Callithrix jacchus: one gene and its partner. The protein of the gene in region 1 interacts with the protein of each later gene in a pairwise test. Links are inferred from orthologs where the notes say so. Each region holds a gene or a part of one and is shown on either strand. Other genes may lie near its edges. The genes, in order: TPR and NUP153.

The links.
Region 2: the proteins of TPR (region 1) and NUP153 interact in a two-hybrid assay, tested with the Homo sapiens proteins (3 studies listed by BioGRID, with this or other methods). The link is inferred for Callithrix jacchus from reciprocal best matches to the Homo sapiens genes TPR and NUP153.

What each region holds. Positions count from the first base shown.
Region 1 is NC_133519.1:44,340,526-44,344,345, forward strand, and holds part of TPR (nucleoprotein TPR), read right to left. Parts: intron 2,706-3,820; coding exon 2,587-2,705; intron 1-2,586.
Region 2 is NC_133505.1:13,137,873-13,142,353, reverse strand, and holds the end of NUP153 (nuclear pore complex protein Nup153), read right to left. Parts: intron 2,321-4,481; coding exon 2,155-2,320; intron 1,849-2,154; coding exon 1,764-1,848; 3' UTR 711-1,763; downstream 1-710. UniProt on the Homo sapiens protein: Component of the nuclear pore complex (NPC), a complex required for the trafficking across the nuclear envelope. Functions as a scaffolding element in the nuclear phase of the NPC essential for normal nucleocytoplasmic transport of proteins and mRNAs.

The DNA of each region.
Region 1 (3,820 bases):
TTTTTTTAAACAATGAGGAACATTTAACAAACCAAAAAGGGTAAATGGTTAAACAACAACAATGATAAAAGCAGCACTTTGGGAGGCTAAGACGGGAAGATCACTTGAGCTCAGGAGTTTGAGACAAGCCTGGGCAACACAGCGTGACCCTATGTTTTACAAAATCATAAAACAATTAACTGGGCATGGTAAAACATGCTTACAGTCCCAGTTAGGAGGCTGAGGCTAGGGGATCACTTGAGTCCAGGTGAGGTTGAGGCTGCATGAGCTATGATCAAGCCACTGTACTCCAGCCTGGGAAACAGGCAAGACACTGCCTCAGAAAAAACAGAAGCACTTGACTATTTTCATTTCTTCACTTATATTAATAAATATTTACTTCTTGACTCCTCCTGTATCAAGCATAGTGCCAGGTGCTGAGAAATACAATAGAAAACAAAATATCAAGTCCCTCAGCAACAGCCTACAATAGAACACAAATTATATCTGATTCTTCTTTTTCAGACACCCCAAACGCAATCATTAGCAAATTCTGAATGCTCAAATTTAAATATATATCCCAAATCTGACTACCTCTCACAACCCCAACTCTACCATTCACCTAAGCCACCACTATCTTTTCCTGAATTACTCCAACAGCCTCCAAAGTTTGTCCTTGTTTCTGTCCATTATTCATTTCCAATCTCTTCTGTACATAGCAGCCAAACTGATCAGATAATGTCAGGTCATTATTTGTGTGAAGCCTTCCAATAGCTCCCGGTATCCATGAGAGAGCCAAGGCAATTACAATGATGTGCCTGATCTATCCTCTCCCGCCCCTAATATATCTCCTGCTAGTCTCTGTTCTCATTCACTCTGCTTCAGGCACATGGCCTCCTTGTTGACCCTGAACACAAGCAGATACCTGCTGCCTTACGGACTTGACATCTGTTAGTATTTTCTTCGATCCAGTATGCTTTTTATTAAATAACTGCCCAGCTTTGATCCCTTTCTTCTTTCAGGTCTTTACTTAAATGTCACCTTCTCTTAGTGATGCTTCCTATGAAACTGCCTGCTACATTATCAAGTATTTATTTGTTGACCAAATGAATAACTACTCAGAAGTACATTTTACATTATCAAACAAATTTAAAGACATCTTAATTTCATTGATACTTTCAAAGGGACCAACAACCATATTTTCTCATGAAAGTTCTGATAAGATATAGTAAGTGCCAATTCTCTTGAGGGAAGCCAATTTTTATGGGACATCAAAATATAACCGGGGGCATAAAAGCTCAGTAATTATTAATATGATAGTTATAAATTTTTTGAGCCTTACTGCCTATGAAATGGTTCTATAATTTACATACATTATTTTAAATCCTGATTGCAAGATTAGTTATGAGTATCCATATTACATAAATGTACAGAAATTTAAAGTTACCAGATATGAAAAGGTAGATATTGGATCTGAACTCAGGGAGGTTAGCCAATAGGTTCATGTGTCATATCAAAGCAGCTGAGAGGCAGGGGAAGAGATCTTGGGATAGCAAAGTTCTGTGATTTTGAAAAAGTAATAAATAACTGAGCAGGTGTGCCATAAAATCTGAAGGTTCCATGGCAGAGTTTGAGAATTACCACTGTAAACAATTCAAAATTAAAATAATCTGAGTGAATGACCAACTACTGTAAATCCTTAATAATAAAGGTAATTCTCTGTCTAAGAATCTGAAGTAGACAAGCTACCACATTGTACTGTTTAAGAGTGGAGTCTCTGGAGCCAGACTTCTTTGGTGTAATTGTTGCTTGTCCATTACTTATTAGCTATTTCACTTTGAAGAGGCTATTCACCCTTTCTGTGCCTCAGCCTCCACATCTATAGAATGTGGATGAATATCTACCACATTGAGTTGTGAGAATCAAATGAGTATATATAGGTAAAGGGCTCAGAATACTGCCTGATACACAGTAAGTGTTCAGTAAATGCTGTCATTCTAAAAAAAACTTTTATTACAGGAATAATACATCTTTTTTCAAAATTAACTTCAAAAATTTGAAAAGTCAAATTCTGAAACTGTTTACCTCAGTAAATTTCAAACAATTTTTTTTAAGCAATGGAACTCCTACCCCTCAACTCTCCACATCAAATCTCATGTAGAATCCCAGTATGCAGAATAAATAAAAATGGAGCGACTGTGGTTCAAACAGAGGCAAGGGGCCTGGCACACCCTAGCACTCCTTAGCTTCCCTCCCAGTGTACCCATCGACTCCAACCCCAACAGCACCTCTAAAAGACCCAAGAGCTCTACAGAACATCTGTCGACAACCATTATTCCAGATGAAACATGAGTGAGCTATTCTTTTGGGATGGATTCACCATGTCCATATTTCTTATTATCGATGCCAGAATAGTCTTAGAATAATGATTTCAATATAAACCAAGTTCCCTTTAATAATAAAATTTCTCTTTTAAATAAAGCATTTTAAAATAAAGGAAACAATGATTATTAATTTGTTACTAATATGTTGTTACTAAGAAAGCAGTGTTCTCACAAACAAGTTTGATGCATAAAAGTTGTATTGTGGTCAAGGGCAGGGACTCACCTACAGATGAGCTGGAAGGAGGATCCTGGCTGGTGGAGGGGAGATCTGACTCATCAGAGGCTTGAACCGGCTCTTCTTCCTGTTGGCTATCAATTTCTAGGCCTGCTTCTGAACTAATACTAAGGAAAAGAAAAATTAATTAGAAAATATAAAACTGATTCTAGAGTCTATCCTATTTCTACTCTTTTAAATCTGTTATCACTTAAGATTACTTAAGTAATCCAGAGCTCCCTTAAAGAAAAAAATTACAGACTGATTTGGTAACCATATATATTTTTCAAAGGAGCAGAGGGGAAAACAGTTCAAACAGTTGCTTTTTCCTCACTCCTTTTCTCACTATAACACATTCCAATTTTAGTTTATGACTTTCCTCTTTTTATGTTTCCTTTTTCCTTTTGACAAGGTTGTTCACATCTTGACACTCATAAGAAAATATATGGTCCAGATTTTGATAAATCTCAAAACATTTTACGAAAGCACAGTATTAAAAAGTTCACAAGTCACACTATTAAATGGTATATTAGTAACTAAACCACAGACTCTAGCCCAGATGACACAGGCAATAGGTATGTAAAAATCCTGGCTCAGTGGCTACAACTCCATCTTTCTCTGTTCCATTCAAGACACAAATGAGGGAGATGGTACAAGAATAACATGAATCTGCTCCAGTTTAAGTTATTTGCAAACTTCATTAGCTGACAAGTCATCTGAGTATCTCCCAGGACTGTGCTGAAACTGAATACTGCTGGTGAAGTGTATAGACTATGGGCTGAAGTCAGGGCTTCCAATCCATTCTGAGCTGCTTCCAAAGTAGTGCAGTTTAAGCAAGTTATTTTAACATGCTTTGAGCCTCAGTTTTCTTATTTGTATAACAGAGACAATGCTTAACAGGGATACTGTATAGGTTAGAAATGACATTTGTAAAGTGACTTGCATATGCGGTACAGAATTAGTGTCAGCTAGTGTTTTCAAAAGAGTCTGTAACCTCTCAAAATTAAGCAGCACTGTGTTAAAGAATAACAAAAGAATCACAACAGACCTGCTTTTGTCATCATATGGAAGAGTTGGCCTGTAATTACTCTAAAAAAAGTCGCTAAATAAAATAAATCCTTGAGTTCTATTAGAAAATCTGGGTTCTACTTCTTAGCTATGCTTCTGATTATGAGGTAGTCCAACCTTTTCATTTTATTAAAAATTAGACTTGGCACAGTGGCTCATGCCTGTAATCCCAAAT
Region 2 (4,481 bases), on another chromosome or scaffold:
ATGTAGCATACAACCCAAAGCAAGGCTGGGCAAGGTGCCTCACCCCTGTAATCCCAACACTTGGGAGGCCGAGGTGGGCACATTAGCTGAGGCAGGAGGTCGAGACCAGCCTGGCCAACATGGTGAAATCCCATCTCTACTAAAAATGCAAAAAGCCTGGTGTGGTGGTGCACGCCTATAGTCCCAGCTACTCGGGAAGGTGACAGGAGAATTGCTTGAACCCGGGAGGCGGAGGTTGCAGTGAACTAAGATCACACCACTGCACCACAGCCTGGGCTATAGGGAGAGACTCCATCTTGGAAAAGAAAGAAACTTCAACCAACCAGAAGTTCAGCAAATTAAAACTGAGCACAAAATAACTACATTCAAACTGAAAAATAAAATTACCAAATACTGTTCCAAGAATTCTTTTGTGAACCACAGGAAAACAATCCAGTTAAAAAAAACAATAAAATAATACTTACACTATCCAGTAACTTACCAAGGAAGATACAAGCACAAAGTGAAATGGATGTGTGTTTACTTTCAACTGTTTTTTAAAGGTATGTAAATTGATGTGCAAATTACTTTCCCCTTCTCTTAGGAGTTTTCTGAATCATGTCAATGTACTTTTTGGCATTTATCTTCTAATGAGCCACTGTTAACCTTTTAATAGTCCTGTCCCAATAAGACTGTGTACCTTCATTATGAGGTAATACTAGAACAAAAAGTATGTCATAATTTTTTATTGATGGCATTTATCCCATGGTTTAACATGTTAATTATACTGTAATAAACATGGCTTTAATATTAAACTTTTCCTTATTATCCAAAGTCACCACAGTCCATTTTAGTAAATATAAAAATATATGCTTAATACTTTGTACAATACTGGTTTTTGGTCCAAACAAAACTGGATCAGAAAAGCCAATAAATTCAACTTTAAGAATCTCCAATTTTTTTTAAAGATTTCCAAATGGATTTAGGCAACTTTGAATAATGGGACTTATATAATAAAATCTGAGACAAGACTAAACAAACAACAAAAAAATCTCTAACACAAAATTCAAATTTCAAGTTCACAGATTTATGTTATGCCAAAAAAGTACAGAAACAAAATTGTATTTACACAAGTTTCATAATAAAATAATGAAAAAGGCAAGACAGGTGATAGAAGAATGAAAATATAGAAATAGCATGTAATTATTAAATGGAGAATGAACTAGATCTAACAAGTCCTTAGCACGGACCATTCTTTAATCAGGCTTCCTCTATCAGAAAAGTTTAGTGCACAATACACCCAACTCACTCACTTCACACATACACCAGCACAAACTCAGCATAGAAATCATCCATTTCAACATTCTCTAATCTATACAGAATTCTAATCTATACAGAATTCCTCAGATATAATTACAATTTCAACGCGTTCCGTAAACGCTTATCAGCGCACATAATGGTGTAGACAAAGAGGTTCTATACAAAGCCATTTGCCGTGCAGGCTCCATTCCTGGGAACAGCCAGACTATGTCAAATCAGTGAATAATCTGCTGGATCATAAAATATTTTTGCTGCAGAATCAGTCACCAGTCTAGCTATTATTTTTAAAAAGAGGGTAGATGAAGCAGGGTGGGGCTTCTGTAAAGAAAGGGAAAGGAGGAAAAATCCAAAATTAAAGAAGTCCTTAGGCAGATCTGACTTCAGATAACCCTAGCGCAAAGTCCAACTCAGTATCTGAAAGCAGGCACGAGCTGTTAAAATTGCGTATAACACCAATGTGACCTTTATTTTCTGCGTCTAACAGCAGTCTTTATCTTGCGGCCAGGGACTGCAGTTCCAGAAGATGAGAACACATTTTTCCCATTTGACCTGTAAAAAATAAAAGCTTCATAATGTGGTATGATGCTCGGAGCAAAATTTCCGAATCCTAACATTTACCATGAGCAGCAGCAACTGTTATATACATTTTCTGCTATACCTAACACACGCATTACTGTTTCTTTTCTCAAACTATAATATAATCCTCCAGAATTGCAGTATGGTCAATTTATGTTGGAGAACATATTTAATTTTACCCAAACCATACTGGATCTTGGTAACTTTTGAAAACAAAATATATACATGTACATACCCTAACCAATGTAAATTCTCCATTTCAATAAAAAATTCTCTTACCCCACTGTAAATGCTGGAGACGGGTTAAACGGAAAGCCCCCCGAGCCTGAAGGCTGGGCTGAGGCTGCAGGTGTGCTAGAATTTGCACCAAATGTGAACACTCCTGATGGATTGTTGTTTGTGAAGTTGAAATTTGTAGTGCTGCTGCCGAACTGGAAAACCGAACCTATAAGAATTGAAGCAGAAATACTTCACTAGGGCAAAATGATACGTTTTGAAATTAATGACTCTGACCTCTACATATAAACACATGCAGACAATTAAGATATTTTGGTCTCTTAATCCAAAGAAAACTAAAATATTTTCTCCACTAACACACAGTACATACTTGACACCTCCAACAAATCACACAACTTACCTATGACCAAGGGGAAAAGGGCAGCCTGGACTTCTGGTTAAAGATAGTGAAATCAATAAAGACATTTAGCTCTATCTTCTTTGAACAGTGCATTAAAACAACAAGGGATTTTTACAAAGATAGAGAGAGAGGTGACCACAGCAACAAAGGTTTAGAAGCTGGAAGGCTGATAGAGTTGATACGGAACTAGCAGCAGGTAAAGAACAGAAGCAATTGCATTTATACCAAACATACCCAAAACGTTTAGGTTCCAAATACCTCTGGAAGTGAGAATTAAGGCAGGAATTAAAAAAGAGAGAGAGGGGCCGGGCGCGGTGGCTCAAGCCTGTAATCCCAGCACTTTGGGAGGCCGAGGCGGGTGGATCACGAGGTCAACAGATCGAGACCATCCTGGTCAACATGGTGAAACCCCGTCTCTACTAAAAAAATTACAAAAAATTAGCCGGGCACGGTGGTGCGTGCCTGTAATCCCAGCTACTCAGGAGGCTGAGGCAGGAGAATTGCCTGAACCCAGGAGGCGGAGGTTGCGGTGAGCCGAGATTGCGCCATTGCACTCCAGCCTGGGTAACAAGAGCGAAACTCCGTCTCAAAAAAAAAAAGAGAGAGAGAGACAGAGAAAGGAAGGATAGCAGATATCCAGGACCAATCCCTCCCCTCCCAACACCAAGATAGTAATTCTCAGTGGGGTGCAGTGGTTCATGCCTGTAATAGCACTTTGGGAGACCAAGGCAGGTGAACTGTTTGAGCCCAGGAGTTTGAGACCAGCTTGGGCAACATGGAGAGACCTCATCTCTATAAAAAAATTATTTAAATTAGCTGGGTATAATGGTGTGCACCTGTAATCCCAGCCACTCAAGAGGCTGAGGTGGGAAGATCTCAAGCCCAGGGGGTCGAGAATGCAGTGAGCCCGGATTGTGCCACTGCTCTCCTGCCTGGTCAACAGAGTGAGACCCCATCTCAAAAGGAGAAAAAAAAAAGAAGACAGTAATTCTCCTCTTTCACCTCACCAGAACAGAAGTCTTTGTACAAGTGTCTGGACTGGGGAATACCACATATAGTTAACAGTAAGAATATCATTTTGAAAATGGGAATTAAGAGTAGGTTCAATATTCATTAAATACTAAGGGCTCCAGCCATCTTCCAAATCTTAACTTCCAGAACACTGGCAAATGGAAGTTCCCTGATGCCCTCCAAGCAGGAGACTGGATGCATCTTCTCTGGGGAATCTGACAGACTAAGTGGAAAGAAAGAAGGATACTAACATCCTTTCATCTAGTGAAATAGAGAAACCAGATAAATCTACAATGAAATTTGAGATCTGCAAGCCCTATCAACACAGAAAGGATTTAAGTGGTATTTAAGTGTCCTACACTCATAAAAACGTTAACTAGGTAGCCAAGGAGTACCAGACATTTGAGGACAGTATTTAATAAGAAACACTGAGACAAAAATAATAAAAGTAATTTTAGGAAAACTGACTCAGCAAGGAAACAAAACATCAAGGAAAAAAATCCAAACTCGGTGTCTTTAATGAATACTTCATCCACTGGGGGACTGGGTGGGGGAACACAGAGCATAAAAAAGAAACATCCAGAAAATAAAAAAGAGTACTTGGAAATTAAAGTCACAATAGTGGAAGTTAAAATCTCAACAGAACAGGTAATGAAAGATAAATCTCAGAAAGTACAACAAAAAGATAAAAGGTGAGAAAGAAAGGAATGATAAAGGGCAAAATCTTCAATAAATAATGCTGGAAAATTCCCCAAAATGTTCACAAAAGAGCATGCTGCACTCCTTACACGAAGGATAAAAATGGATACACATCAAGACGTCCTGATGTAACAGAACACTGGAGGCAAAAGAGAAGAGTCTAACGATTCCAGAAAGAAGAAACAGGCCAAAGAGCAAAGACCAAGACTTCATGCAACTCTGGAAGCCAGAAAGTCTACAAGAGAGAATGCCTTCAAAA